2 linked regions of the Struthio camelus genome follow. The protein of the gene in region 1 interacts with the protein of each later gene in a pairwise test. Links are inferred from orthologs where the notes say so. Each region holds a gene or a part of one and is shown in the gene's direction. Other genes may lie near its edges.

What was found.
Region 2: the proteins of KIFBP (region 1) and DOK2 interact in a two-hybrid assay, tested with the Homo sapiens proteins (2 studies listed by BioGRID and IntAct). The two-hybrid records come from large-scale screens. The link is inferred for Struthio camelus from reciprocal best matches to the Homo sapiens genes KIFBP and DOK2.

What each region holds. Positions count from the first base shown.
Region 1 is NC_090948.1:39,034,432-39,041,670, forward strand, and holds the start of KIFBP (KIF-binding protein), read left to right. Parts: upstream 1-4,224; 5' UTR 4,225-4,287; coding exon 4,288-4,635; intron 4,636-7,002; coding exon 7,003-7,101; intron 7,102-7,239. Other genes in the region: nucleolar RNA helicase 2, read left to right, coding at 1,044-1,203, 2,019-2,153, 2,981-3,025, 3,580-3,774. UniProt on the Homo sapiens protein: Activator of KIF1B plus-end-directed microtubule motor activity. Required for organization of axonal microtubules, and axonal outgrowth and maintenance during peripheral and central nervous system development.
Region 2 is NC_090968.1:5,669,639-5,677,374, forward strand, and holds the start of DOK2 (docking protein 2), read left to right. Parts: upstream 1-4,732; 5' UTR 4,733-4,748; intron 4,749-5,057; exon of another isoform or gene 5,058-5,144; 5' UTR 5,145-5,276; coding exon 5,277-5,339; intron 5,340-6,090; coding exon 6,091-6,387; intron 6,388-6,505; coding exon 6,506-6,608; intron 6,609-7,736. UniProt on the Homo sapiens protein: DOK proteins are enzymatically inert adaptor or scaffolding proteins. They provide a docking platform for the assembly of multimolecular signaling complexes. DOK2 may modulate the cellular proliferation induced by IL-4, as well as IL-2 and IL-3.

The sequences.
Region 1 (7,239 bases):
AGTTGCTTCACATGTAGACACTGATCGGTTTTCTAAGGATAGTAACAATAAACCTGTGCATTCTTGAACCCTTTTCACAGAATATAACGTTCTCTAAGTTCTTGGTAAAAACGAACCTTCATTTACAACAGAAGAAATCTCACTATCAGTAGTAGGATAGGAAACTGCTGCCACGGGGAAACTGATCTCCTCCTCTCGGATGGTGCAGTAGCAGTGTTTGAAGAGCAATGCTTACTGTAATGAGGAGTTGTACTACGCTAGCAAGTGTTACAGCCTCATCCTCTGCTTTTTTTTCTGTATGGTTTTATTGTCAAGGGTGCTCTGCTGTTTTACTCCATGCAGCTCTATTTATGTTTGCTGCCTGATTGGTGGAAATGATGTTGACAGAAATCTTAAACTATAGTTATTGCAAGTTTGGCCAGTTTGAAGATGATCGTGGGCTTGGTGCTGGGTTCACCCCATGCTGTATGTAGAAGGGGAGCATGGGAGGCGATGATGTACCAAAGATAGCATCTGAGAGCTGCTGGAAAACAGAAAGCTATTCTCGGTTTTCCAGCTTGTTCTCATTCCCTCTTCCAGAAATAACCAATTTAATCAGCTTTTACTGAGAGCAAGAAATGTCTTACCTCAGCCTGTAGTGGCGCTGTAGTGATTTACTTCTCTTCCTCGTGAAGTAAAAAAGCAAGGGAGTCTCAGATCTGCTGGCAACTTTTTTTGTAGATCCTCGGGCCTGGCCTTAAAAATGCTGATATCTTAGATCCTTCCCTTGAATATTGTTATCAAAGCTCTCAAGTGTCTCGTGTGTGCTCAGTTTTGCACGCATCTTTGAGGCCTGGCTGAATGATGGAAAAAGCAGGTATTCCACCTCCTTGAAGGTGTTGAGTTAGATGAGTGGTAATTGAAGCATGAACATTGCAACCAAGGCTTTTAGAGGTAAATAGTACTGAAAGTTGTCTGAAATATTTGTGATGTCTTGAACGTGACTGCACTTCACACTGGTCTTTGGCACGCTGATCTCTCAAGCCTGTGTTATCAACGTTTAGGTTTTTGGATTCCGTTCCTCCTTCTGCAGTAGACTACTTCAGACAGTCAGCTCAAGAGCTGATAGAGGAAAAAGGGGCGATTGATGCGCTGGCTGCAGCTCTAGCTCATATTTCTGGGGCATCCTCCATCCAGCAGCGCTCCTTACTCAACTCAACTGCGGTAAATAACATTGCATCTGTGTTGACAAGAATGGCTGAGCGAATGGCTTGAGTCCAGTCTAAGTGTGTCATCTTGTTCTGGGGATTCCAAGTAGCTGTTATCTCCAACGTTCGGTTTGTGTCTGGTTCCTTAAGTGGAATCAGATCTTACTGGCATTCTGTAGGGAAACAGAGAAACTTGAAGTCAGTTGGTAAATTTTCTCATAATGAGCGTTAAAAGAATTGCTCCAGAGATGTAGGTGACAGAAGACTTTGCTCTAAGAGGCCTCAATTAATGAAATTTCACAAGCTCAGACTTTGGTTCTTGCTGTTGTTGCAGTTGCCTTCCCAGGAAGCACCTTTATTTCTGCCAATTTCAAGTAAGCCTAGCATGTGGTTATCTGACTTTAAAGACATCTTGATAGAGGAAAAATTACTACTTTTCCTTTTTCTGATGCCTTTGGAGAGAACCTGGCCCGGTTAATTGTGTGATCATGGTTTTGGAAACACTGTGGTGATTGGACTGTCCTTCCTCATATCGGTTTAATTTTACTTTTTTTCCAGCTGTTACTTTCTTAATGTACTGAGCTCTGCTTCTGGCTAAAACGCAGAAGTGCTACTGGCCTTTGTCCTGATGGGCATTCTTAGGTTAGATGGATACCTTCAGCTTCTTTGGAGGCTTTTAGTTGCCCCACTCCTGGGAAGCTGATTTCTTAGGATTAAGTACTGCATTGCAATTGTAAGTTATTACATCGTTCATAACAGTTAATGGGTGACAGACTGTCCAACCAAGTTTAGTCATCTTTTGTAAATGTGTTTCTCTGTTTGCTCCTGAAGGGCTTTGTGACCATGGTGTTGCAGTGCTCTATAGAGATGCGTACCATGAGCTACGCCTGGCGAGGACTAAAAGAACAGCTTGGTGAGGAAGTGGATGCTAAAGTATCTGCAATGCGTTTCCTCAAGGGGAAGATGGTAAGATGGCACAACCTTGGGGAAGGAGGGATGTGTCTCTATCCGTGTGTGTCTGTGTGTGTGTGTGTGTGTGTGTGTGTACACGGCCGCTTTCTGCAGTGACTGAGATGAGAGTTCTGAAGCAGCAGTGCGGAAACGTCTTGTCTCGCTCTATCCCTACTCCATCTCATTTCTCCTTCATGTAAAATGCTAACGTATCACACAAAATCCCTTTAACTGCTGTCTGTTTTTACGCTCTACAGAAATGTGTTAAAAGCTAGCTGAGTGTTAAAAGATATTTGCTTGAATGAAGACACTGCTCCCAAATGATGATACAGGAATTCTCTCCTAAAAGAGCACATCAGAATAATGTGTGGTAGAAATGGCTGTTGTGACCTTTATTCTTTCATTGTAAACTCACAGTAACACTACATACCGTTGCACTGAAAGAACGTCAGTAGAGGAGAGCCGCGACTGACAGCCCGAACCTGATCAGTGCAGTATTCGCTTCATTGTCAGCTTGGCTCTTGACATATCTGACAGCAGAGAACGTGTGCTGCTGGAGAAGCCTGCCTTACCTTTGAACAGGCGGGCCAACTGCAGGCGGTGCTGCTCTCAGCACCCATCATTTGGGTCTGCGTTTTGTCACGAGCTGCAGTTTTTTAACTGCTCTTTCTGCAGCTTATGAAAAGGTACCCCCGAAAGGGCATGCGTTCTGCTGCTTCTGGTTTCTATTCCCAGCCTTAATGAGCAGTGTTTCAGGTGCTGGCTGTCTGGAGTTTTGGTTTTGTGCCTCTGTTACTAGATACGTTTTTGGAAAACAAATGCTTATCTTTGTTTATGTATAGGGAGTGTGCTTCGATATCCCTTTTGATGAACTGAGTCGCATACAGGTACGTTTTTACGGTCAGAATCTGCTTTTGGAACGTCTGAGGGGTGATACGTTAGTCAAATACATGGTGATTATATTGTTACAGACTAGTTGGAGAAGATAAGGTTTGTGATTTTTCCAAGGAGACTGCATAGAAATGCCAGCAGAGTCATCACAGAATACATGCCCCACCGAGCTCTGTCCTTTTAGTTCTCTTCCTACTACCCCATTTTTCTTAAAGAACATCCGATGTTCTTTGGCCACTCTGGGTTTTGACCTTGCTAGTAGTGTATTTGAGAGCAGCGACAGCTAACCAGGTCTCTGTGGTCTTTACTCCCTCTTATCCCTTTGCTTGTCTGGCCTTGGTCATAGGACTGCAAACGGAGGTGGTTTTTTTTTTTTTTTTTTTTTTGAAGCTTAAGAGTGATGCTTGCCTCCCTTAGGGATCTGACCTATTTTGGCGAGGGTGGGATTTGTCTGGAAGTGCCTTTGTGCCTAACAACATAGGGTATCTCGGGCGCACCTGCACGTTTGCACCTGCCGGCTCGTAAGTCTATTATATTGCTCTTGTTTCAGGAACAGTGGCAGGACACCAGACGCTGGCAGCTGTCTGTAGCAAAGGAGTTGCCTGAGCTGGAAGAGCACCCGCATGAGGCAGGCCAAGGCTTCTCCAGGTTTGGAAGTGGCAGACAAGGTGACAACGGCTTCAGGAGGAACAACAGATTTAAGAACGGAAACCAGGGACAGAATTTTAACAGGTCATTTCATTAACGGCCGATGGAGCTATGGGACTGAGCTGCTTTTTATCCAAAAGTAAAAACCTATTGGACATTCGTCTTTGTCTTTATTCCTTGATTAAGCAGCCTTTCTTTGAGGATGGCTAGCAATCGCTCGTTTGCTGAAATGAGAGGAAAAGTAATTTTTTGAAAAGTGGATTTTTTTTTCTTTTTTACTGACACAATCGCTGCTGCCGTTTTTTCCTCCTCTTAAACCGCGTGGCAAGTACAGCTCGGGGTGAGCACAGCGCTGGAAACTTAGCGCTGCGGGAGGATAAACGCTGTAATGGCAACGAGCGGCCCTCGCGTGATGCGCCGGGGTAGCGGGGGGGGGGGGGGGGATGTCGCGCGGGGGGGGGGATGTCGCGCGGGGGGGGCGGGGCTCGGCTCGCCCCGCCCCGCCGCGCGGAGCCGCGCGCGGCGGGGGCGGAGCGCCGCCTCCGCGCCGCGGCGTGATTGGCCGGCGGGCGTCACGCGGCGGGGCGCGTGCGGCGGCGGGGGGAAGAAGATGGCGGCGGCGGGCGGCGGGTGGGCGGCGGTGTGCGAGAAGTTCCGCAGCGCGCGGACGCTGTCGGCCGTGGAGTCGCGCAAGGACCCGGAGACGGAGCCGTACCGCTCCAAGTACGCGGCGCGGGCGCTGCTCGAGGAGGTGAAGCAGCTGCTGAGCGCCGCCGAGGAGGGCGGCGAGGCGGGGCTGCGGGCCGTGCGGCGGGCCGTGCTGGAGTACGAGCTGGGCGCCAACCACAGCGACACGGAGGAGCTGTCGGCCGGCGAGGAGCACCTGCTGCGCTGCGCCCGCCTCCTCGAGCCGCACCGCCTCTCCCGCGGCTGCGTCTCCCTCTACATACAGGCCCAGGTGGGCCGGGGGGGCGGGGGGCTGTCTGGGGGGCTGGGAGGCCTGGGGGGTGCTGGGGTGATCTGAGGGGCCTGTGTGAGTGGGCGGTTGGGGGAGTGAGGTGGTCTGTGGGGGAAGGAGCTGGGGGGCCTGGGAGGGTCTGTGTGAATGGGGGGTTAGGGGGTGTGGGGGGGGCCTGTATGTGCAGGGAACTTGTAGGGGAGGACAGGGGGGTCCGGGGGGCTGGAGATGGTGTGCAGGCAGCTGTAGGGGGGTCGGGAGGGCAGGGGTGGGGTGGGCGAGCACAGGAGGGCCCCCTGGGCTGGGCGGGTTGAGGGGGGTATTTGCAGGGGACGGTGAGACAGAACCTCAGCGGTCCTGAGGCTGGACTGGGGGGAGATCTCAGCACGTCTGGAATTTATTTGTGGTTGTTGAGCTGTCATTTGCAGCCACAGCGTGTTGGGGGAGGGGGTTGCTTTTATTTATACCATATCCTGAAAAGGTGCGTTTGTTCTGAAAGGACCGACTTGTTTGCTTTTTCAGCATTGCCTGTTAGCTCACTATCTGTTACGTTTATTCCAGATGATTAAAGGTAGTTTTGTGTTGTTAGAAATAACATTCATCTTTCTATCCTGAAAAAAGTAACACTGTTACAGGATTATTACTTAACACATGAGGATTCCCAAAAGGGATGGGCCTTTAATCAATTCCTTCTTCATGGCAGCTGTGTTTTATATGTACATCTCCAGCTCTATTTAAGTCAGTCTGTTACTTAGATGTCTGTCAAAATTAGCCCACCTAATAAGAAAAGGCTAAGTATTCTTTCTTTGTCACCCGTTACAAAACTGTCAAGGAATTGTGTGTTTGTGTGGAGAGACTCCTTTTAGTTGAAAAATCATTTGTCTTATGCGGCTTAAACTGAATGAGCTGCCTGGAATTTGTAAGGTTTTATCTGCTCACTCTCTTTCAGAGTGGCAGTCCGGGTACTCTGCTACAAATCTGTTACTGGAAGAAAGCCATTTTATGTAAGATTCAAGATTAGTTAAGAAGCTAGTCAAAATAACACAATATCTTCCCAGTATTTGAAAGGGCAAGGACTCCACTGTGCTTTTCAGCTGATATGCTGGAAAGTGGTGCTTTTCTCCATTGGATGAGTGCTGCCATCTGCATGGATTTTCCAAACTTGACACCTTCTAGAAGCGGCAGGATGAAAAGTGCTGTGGTCCAACAGCAGAAAAATCTACTATCGTCTGGGACATAACACAAGACATGTGGCTGAGAACAATGATGATAAATTAGCGTGCTCTCAATGTTCCATCTCAAGGCCTATAATAGGTCGAGTCCTTAATTACAAAACTTCTGAATACTCCAAGCAGTAATCATCAACAGCGGTTGGTGTGATGACAGATTTCTCTCTCAGCACATCCTAGGTACTGTAGAGTATGTTGTCAGTGCGCTGACTTCTATTTTGAAAGAAGTAGCATTGTTTTTTCCTGCTTCTGCAGCCCTACTCCTGGTCTCTGTGCTGCACAATGATGTATGTGACAGCTCCTGTCTCATTGAGTTTAGTTAGTTCCACTGCTCAGCCATCGGCAAAGTATTGCCGTTTATAAACATGCTACATGGTGCTTTCTTTTTAAAATCATAAAATAAATGGAATTGGAAGGGAGGTGGCATTGGCCAAGCTACATGCTCTGGCTTTTTTGAAGCTTTTTTCTTTCTGTAGTCCTGTTGCGTTTTTTTTTTTTGGTTTTTTTGTTTTATTTTTTTAACAACTCTGTCTGGGAACTGAACTAGCACATGTGACTTGGATTGTTATTGACACCTTCATTTTATTAATAGTTAGAGGGGCTTTTTGTAAAAGGTGGGTTCACAGATGTATGACGTGTTACTGTGTGCATTTCTGTATTTTAAATTTGAAGGCGTTAGTCCTTAGCTTTTGCATTTAACAGTTTCATCTCCTTGTTGAAGAAATACAGGTGTTCTTCCTGGCTTATCTTTTCCTATTGATTTTTTTTGTTCATACAAAGTCACATTGACAATTTTCTATTTCCTTGACTCTTATGATTATGAGTTAAAAGTTGCATGAATCAGATGCAGAACTGTGTGGAAAAAGCTCCTTATTTGAACACACAGGTCCTAATTTAGCAGGGTAAACACAAAAGACCACTGTTTAAGTGAGATGACTTTTTTTTATGAATTTGCCTGTGTTTGAGAACCCTTCTCTTAAAGCAACATGAGATAAAATGCATGAGTCGAATTTTGCCTTTCTAACTCCATTGTATTAGAATGATGTATATCAGGATGAAGACTGATAAATTGTTTGGAGAAAACGTCTAAATGTAAATTGAGCGTAACAGGAAAAACTTTTTTTCTTTTTTTGTTTAGAACAGTCTGGGTATCCTGTGGTCTGAAAGGGATGAAATCAAAACTGCTCAAACATACTTGGAATCTGCAGAAGCCTTGTATAATCAATACATGAAAGAGGTACTGTATTGATTAGCGTTTTGGCAGGTCTTACTTTACACACAAATGGTACTCTTTGTTTTTTGTTTTACAGAAGTACGTAGCGACTGGAATTACCTAGCTTTCTCTGTTCAAGAGAACTCAATTGCTTGCCCTGAA
Region 2 (7,736 bases), on another chromosome or scaffold:
GAGGGCCGTGTGTCCTGCGCCCCGAGGGCCGTGTGTCCTGCCGCCCCGAGGGCCGTGTGTCCTGCGCCCCGAGGGCCGTGTGTCCTGCCGCACCGAGGGCCGTGTGTCCTGCTGGCACCGAGGGCCGTGTGTCCTGCCGCCCCGAGGGCCGTGTGTCCTGCACCCCGAGGGCCGTGTGTCCTGCCCACCGAGGGCCGTGTGTCCTGCCGCCCCGAGGGCCATGTGTCCTGCTGCCCCGAGGGCCGTGTGTCCTGCACCCCGAGGGCCGTGTGTCCTGCTGCCCCGAGGGCCGTGTGTCCTGCTGGCACCGAGGGCCGTGTGTCCTGCCGCACCGAGGGCCGTGTGTCCTGCCGCCCCGAGGGCCGTGTGTCCTGCCGCACCGAGGGCCGTGTGTCCTGCTGCCCCGAGGGCCGTGTGTCCTGCCGCCCCGAGGGCCGTGTGTCCTGCACCCCGAGGGCCGTGTGTCCTGCTGCACCGAGGGCCGTGTGTCCTGCTGGCACCGAGGGCCGTGTGTCCTGCTGCCCCGAGGGCCGTGTGTCCTGCCGCACCGAGGGCCGTGTGTCCTGCTGCCCCGAGGGCCGTGTGTCCTGCTGCACCGAGGGCCGTGTGTCCTGCCGCACCGAGGGCCGTGTGTCCTGCTGCCCCGAGGGCCGTGTGTCCTGCCCACCGAGGGCCGTGTGTCCTGCTGCCCCGAGGGCCGTGTGTCCTGCCGCACCGAGGGCCGTGTGTCCGGCTGCCCCGAGGGCCGTGTGTCCTGCCGCCCCGAGGGCCGTGTGTCCTGCCCACCGAGGGCCGTGTGTCCTGCCGCACCGAGGGCCGTGTGTCCTGCTGCCCCGAGGGCCGTGTGTCCTGCCGCACCGAGGGCCGTGTGTCCTGCTGCCCCGAGGGCCGTGTGTCCTGCCCACCGAGGGCCGTGTGTCCTGCCGCCCCGAGGGCCGTGTGTCCTGCACCCCGAGGGCCGTGTGTCCTGCCCACCGAGGGCCGTGTGTCCTGCTGGCACCGAGGGCCGTGTGTCCTGCCCACCGAGGGCCGTGTGTCCTGCTGGCACCGAGGGCCGTGTGTCCTGCCGCCCCGAGGGCCGTGTGTCCTGCGCCCCGAGGGCCGTGTGTCCTGCCGCCCCGAGGGCCGTGTGTCCTGCTGGCACCGAGGGCCGTGTGTCCTGCTGCACCGAGGGCCGTGTGTCCTGCTGCCCCGAGGGCCGTGTGTCCTGCTGGCACCGAGGGCCGTGTGTCCTGCTGACACCGAGGGCCGTGTGTCCTGCCGCCCCGAGGGCCGTGTGTCCTGCCCACCGAGGGCCGTGTGTCCTGCACCCCGAGGGCCGTGTGTCCTGCTGCACCGAGGGCCGTGTGTCCTGCTGGCACCGAGGGCCGTGTGTCCTGCTGCCCCGAGGGCCGTGTGTCCTGCCGCCCCGAGGGCCGTGTGTCCTGCTGCACCGAGGGCCGTGTGTCCTGCTGGCACCGAGGGCCGTGTGTCCTGCCGCACCGAGGGCCGTGTGTCCTGCTGCCCCGAGGGCCGTGTGTCCTGCCCACCGAGGGCCGTGTGTCCTGCTGCCCCGAGGGCCGTGTGTCCTGCGCCCCGAGGGCCGTGTGTCCTGCCGCACCGAGGGCCGTGTGTCCTGCGCCCCGAGGGCCGTGTGTCCTGCTGGCACCGAGGGCCGTGTGTCCTGCACCCCGAGGGCCGTGTGTCCTGCCCACCGAGGGCCGTGTGTCCTGCGCCCCGAGGGCCGTGTGTCCTGCTGCCCCGAGGGCCGTGTGTCCTGCCGCACCGAGGGCCGTGTGTCCTGCTGCCCCGAGGGCCGTGTGTCCTGCTGCACCGAGGGCCGTGTGTCCTGCTGGCACCGAGGGCCGTGTGTCCTGCCGCACCGAGGGCCGTGTGTCCTGCTGCCCCGAGGGCCGTGTGTCCTGCTGGCACCGAGGGCCATGTGTCCTGCCGCACCGAGGGCCGTGTGTCCTGCTGCCCCGAGGGCCGTGTGTCCTGCTGCACCGAGGGCCGTGTGTCCTGCCCACCGAGGGCCGTGTGTCCTGCCGCCCCGAGGGCCGTGTGTCCTGCTGCCCCGAGGGCCGTGTGTCCTGCTGGCACCGAGGGCCGTGTGTCCTGCCGCACCGAGGGCCGTGTGTCCTGCTGCCCCGAGGGCCGTGTGTCCTGCCCACCGAGGGCCGTGTGTCCTGCTGCCCCGAGGGCCGTGTGTCCTGCTGCCCCGAGGGCCGTGTGTCCTGCCCACCAAGGGCCGTGTGTCCTGCTGCACCGAGGGCCGTGTGTCCTGCCCACTGAGGGCCGTGTGTCCTGCTGCACCGAGGGCCGTGTGTCCTGCGCCCCGAGGGCCGTGTGTCCTGCACCCCGAGGGCCGTGTGTCCTGCTGCCCCGAGGGCCGTGTGTCCTGCACCCCGAGGGCCGTGTGTCCTGCTGCACCGAGGGCCGTGTGTCCTGCTGCCCCGAGGGCCGTGTGTCCTGCTGGCACCGAGGGCCGTGTGTCCTGCGCCCCGAGGGCCGTGTGTCCTGCGCCCCGAGGGCCGTGTGTCCTGCTGCCCCGAGGGCCGTGTGTCCTGCTGGCACCGAGGGCCGTGTGTCCTGCTGCCCCGAGGGCCGTGTGTCCTGCCGCCCCGAGGGCCGTGTGTCCTGCTGGCACCGAGGGCCGTGTGTCCTGCACCCCGAGGGCCGTGTGTCCTGCTGCCCCGAGGGCCGTGTGTCCTGCTGGCACCGAGGGCCGTGTGTCCTGCCGCCCCGAGGGCCGTGTGTCCTGCTGGCACCGAGGGCCGTGTGTCCTGCTGCCCCGAGGGCCGTGTGTCCTGCTGGCACCGAGGGCCGTGTGTCCTGCTGCCCCGAGGGCCGTGTGTCCTGCCGCCCCGAGGGCCGTGTGTCCTGCTGGCACCGAGGGCCGTGTGTCCTGCTGCCCCGAGGGCCGTGTGTCCTGCCGCCCCGAGGGCCGTGTGTCCTGCTGCCCCGAGGGCCATGTGTCCTGCGCCCCGAGGGCCGTGTGTCCTGCCGCCCCGAGGGCCGTGTGTCCTGCTGCCCCGAGGGCCGTGTGTCCTGCTGCCCCGAGGGCCGTGTGTCCTGCCGCCCCGAGGGCCGTGTGTCCTGCGCCCCGAGGGCCGTGTGTCCTGCTGCACCGAGGACCGTGTGTCCTGCTGGCACCGAGGGCCGTGTGTCCTGCTGCCCCGAGGGCCGTGTGTCCTGCTGGCACCGAGGGCCGTGTGTCCTGCGCCCCGAGGGCCGTGTGTCCTGCCGCCCCGAGGGCCGTGTGTCCTGCCGCCCCGAGGGCCGTGTGTCCTGCTGGCACCGAGGGCCGTGTGTCCTGCTGGCACCGAGGGCCGTGTGTCCTGCGCCCCGAGGGCCGTGTGTCCTGCTGCCCCGAGGGCCGTGTGTCCTGCCGCCCCGAGGGCCGTGTGTCCTGCGCCCCGAGGGCCGTGTGTCCTGCTGGCACCGAGGACCGTGTGTCCTGCTGGCACCGAGGGCCGTGTGTCCTGCTGCCCCGAGGGCCGTGTGTCCTGCTGGCACCGAGGGCCGTGTGTCCTGCGCCCCGAGGGCCGTGTGTCCTGCCGCCCCGAGGGCCGTGTGTCCTGCCGCCCCGAGGGCCGTGTGTCCTGCTGGCACCGAGGGCCGTGTGTCCTGCTGGCACCGAGGGCCGTGTGTCCTGCGCCCCGAGGGCCGTGTGTCCTGCTGGCACCGAGGGCCGTGTGTCCTGCTGCACCGAGGGCCATGTGTCCTGCTGCCCCGAGGGCCGTGTGTCCTGCCGCACCGAGGGCCATGTGTCCTGCGCCCCGAGGGCCGTGTGTCCTGCCGCACCGAGGGCCGTGTGTCCTGCTGGCACCGAGGGCCGTGTGTCCTGCTGCCCCGAGGGCCGTGTGTCCTGCCGCCCCGAGGGCCGTGTGTCCTGCTGCCCCGAGGGCCATGTGTCCTGCGCCCCGAGGGCCGTGTGTCCTGCTGGCACCGAGGGCCGTGTGTCCTGCTGCCCCGAGGGCCGTGTGTCCTGCCGCCCCGAGGGCCGTGTGTCCTGCTGCCCCGAGGGCCGTGTGTCCTGCCGCCCCGAGGGCCGTGTGTCCTGCTGGCATGTTGCCCCGAATCTCCATGCCCGACCCACGAAGCAGCTGGCGCAGCCTGTCCTGCTGCCCCGTCCCCGTCGCCGTCCTGGCGCTGCCCCGGGGCCGAGCGACAGCCCAGCGGTGGCCGAGGCCGCAGGCCGCCGGCGCGCGGGCTCCGCCGGGGAAGCCGCGGCGGTGCCGGGGCGGCAGGCTTTGATTAGCCGAGCTCGGAGACGCGCTCCTGGCATGAAAGGCGGCAGTGCCGGCCCCCGCCACCGCCTGCCTCGCGCCCTTCCCGAGCCTTTTCTTCGGGGGAAGGTGTCCGGAGAGCGGGCAGCCCCCCGGCCCGCCGCCTTTCTTCCCTCCAAGAGCTCTGCGGCTCTCGCCCCGCCTGAATACCCTCCGTGCGGGGCCGGCGGGGACTTGAAAGGGAGCCGGGGCAGAGCCGCGGCGCGCCGCGACGAGGGGGTCGAGCCCCACTAGCCGACCCCTTCCCTAACGGGGGGCAGCCTTTGGGGAGGGGGCTTGGGGGGCTGCCAGAGGCATGCAAAGCCTGGGCAGGAGGAGGAGGAGGAGGAAGGCCTCCGGCTCCAGACATCCCCATGCACAGGTCGCCCCGCTGCCCCGGAGGAGCGGGGGGGATGCTGGCGCCGCGGGAGAGAAAACGATGAGCTGGTAAATCTGCTTCCTGCGGGACCCGTAACACTTTCCGTCCTCTCTGCAGCGGAGGTATAAATAACGCGTTTCCGGGTGGCGGGCGGCCTGGGTCTCCCGCACGGCCCCGGCCCTCCAAGGCATCCGGACTGCCCGCGGGAGGGCGCAGGGCCTCGCCGCCGCTCCCCAACGGCCCTGCTGGCCGCCAGCGGGGGCACCTCCAGCCCCGTTTCCCAGATAGGGAAACTGAGGCACGGACAGGGTTTGCCCACGATGGTGCCCCTCCTGCACCGTGCGGGTGGGCGAAAAGCAGCGGACCGGCAACGGCAGCGGGCGCACGCACGCACGTGTGCGGGCCAGCGCAGCCCCGCCGCGGCCCCCGGGGACGGGCCGGCACGCCGCACGTGCGCGCACGCGCTCGCCTCCGAGCAGCGCCCGCGGCTGCCCTTTTTGGTAACATCGCACATACAGGAAGCTCGAGCGCAACCCGTACGCGTGTAGGAAACGAGAGAGAGGAAAAAAAAAAAAATAGGAGCGGGGCCGAGAGGCGAGGAGGGCGCCAGGGCAGCGGCGGGGGCGCCGGAGGATGCCCGCGGCTGCAAGATGGACGAGGCGGCGGTGAAGCAGGGCGCGCTCTACCTGCAGCTGCAGCAGACCTTCGGCAAGGTAAGGACGAGCCCGGGGCCGCCGCAGCTCCGTGCACGGCCGGGGCCGGCCCTCGCCCCGCTGCCTGCGCGCCCCGACCTCGGTGTCTTGCAAAGGGCCGGTGAGGGCACGAGGGCGCTGGGGGCAGAGCCCGGCGTTTCCCGCGCGGGGGGCGCTGGGTGCACGGCGGGTTTCGCGTGGCAGCGGGCGCCTCCGGAGGAGCCGGGCGATCGCCGCCGGCTCGGCCGCTGCCGGGAGCCTTGGCGGCGCGAAGCCTCCTGCTCGCCGCCCGCCCGCCGGGCCGCTGGGAAGGAGCTGGGGCCTCGGAGGCGCCGGATGCGCCCGGCGCGGCGAAAGGCTCCAGCCCGCGGCGCAGCGGGGTGCCGAGCCGAGGCCGGGGCGCGAGCCCCTGCGCCGCCCCCGCCGGCCGGTGAGAGCCGGGCGCAGCGAGGGCTGCCGGCGGCCGCCGCTCTTGTGCAAGAAGGGGAAGGAGCTTCCTGGGCGTCTCCGGCGGCCGCCCGGCCAGCCGGGACGCGTCTCGCTCTGCAAGGGCACCGCGCGCGGGGTGCGGGGGGCGCAGGACGGGTCCTTGCTCCCTGCGGTGGGCGGCTCCGGGCGCCCCGCAGCGCCGGGCAGGCCGGGGAGCTGCGTGCGCGTTGCTGTTCGGCGCGGGGCGGGGGTGCTCCACCGGGGAGGCAAAAGCGGAGCTGGCGAACGCCGGCGGGCGGGCGAGGGGGGCTCCCGATCCATCCCCTTCCTTCCCCTCTGGCAGAAATGGAAGAAGTTCTGGGGCATTTTGTACCGGGAAAGCTCCTGCTCCACGGCCCGCCTGGAGCTGTTCGAGGGCGCCGCGCCGCCCGCCGCCGACAAGCCGCGGCGCAGCGAGAGCGGCAGGAGGATCGTCAAGCTGAGCGACTGCGTGCACGTGGCGGAGGCGCCCGGCGACGCCGGCGGCCCCAAGGACACCGTCGCCTTCCTGCTGGAGACCACCGACAAGTGCTACCTCCTGGCGGCCGAGGGGGCCGAGGCGGCCGGCTGGATCGGGAGGCTCTGCGAGCTGGCCTTTCCCGTGAGCCGGGGCGCCAGGCGGGCCGGGGAGGCTGCGGCGGAGGGGCGAGGCGGCAGGGGGTGAGCGGGGCCGCGCGGGCTCAGCCGCCGCGGCTCAGCCGCCGCTCTTTCCTTGGGAGGAGCAGGCGGCGGCGGGGAAGGATGGCCAACAAGCCGCGCCGAAATCCAAGGACGGCGAGTTTTCCATGGAGGAGAACTCCCTCTACAGCTCCAGGGGCAAAGGTGGGCAGCGCGGCGGGCCGGGGCAGCTGGGGGGCTCTGTACCCCGCCGGGCGGCGCTGCGCCCAGCGCTAGACTCGCGGTGCAGCGACCGGGCGAGACTGGGCTTCGGAGGCGGCTGGCTGGACGGCGGCACGGGTGGACAGGGCAGAGGAGCGAGGAAGCAGCAGCCCCCCCCCGGGCCAGGCCCCCCCGCCGCGTCCCCGAGGCACGCTGCTCCCAACCGGCTGCCCTTACGTCGTGCCCCGGGCATCGCGCGCCCGGGCTCTGCTTGCCCCCCCGTCGCGAGCGCGAGCGCCGCCAGGCTCGTCCTGCCTGTGCAAACGGCCACCACAACAGCGACTCGCAGGCGGCGCAATGGAAAGCCCGTCTCAGAAATAGCTGCTTTGCGCTCTTCCTGCGCTGCGGTTTGCCAGGGCAGAGCTTGGTTGCGATAACTGGCCACTCCTGAGCGGCCAGCGCCTTTGAGCCCTTATCGGCCGGATACTGCTTTCCCCGCCACCCCCCGCCCGGGCAGCGCCGGGGGGGTCACGGTCCCCATTGCACCACGGCATCGCCCGGGGGGTGGGCTCGGGGCTGGCTCGGGGCTGGGGCACACGATGATCCCAGCAAAAAGGACGTGAGGGTGGATGGCACATCGGGGAGAGGGGGGTGGCGAGGTCGCCAGCCCTCCGGGGACGCCACAGCGAGCTGGCGAGTCGCGGGAGCCCGGCGCGGGAGCTGCTGCAGCTCTCGGCTAAAGCCTGGGTCCATGCTGGGCCACGCCGCTCTCGCCTGCACACGTGGGGAGGTGGCTGGAGGGCACCCCCAGCGCCGGCGTGTGCACCCTCGCGTGCAGGCGAGTGCACCCTCAGTGCTGGCGTGTGCACCCTCAGCACAGGCGGGTGCACCCTCAGCGCAGGCGGGTGCACCCTCAGTGCAGGCGGGTGCACCCTCAGTGCAGGCATGTGCACCCTCAGCGCAGGCGAGTGCACCCTCAGCGCAGGCGAGTGCACCCTCAGTGCAGGCATGTGCACCCTCAGCGCAGGCGAGTGCACCCTCAGCACAGGCGGGTGCACCCTCGCATGCAGGCGGGTGCACCCTCGCATGCAGGCGGGTGCACCCTCAGTGCAGGCGGGTGCACCCTCAGCG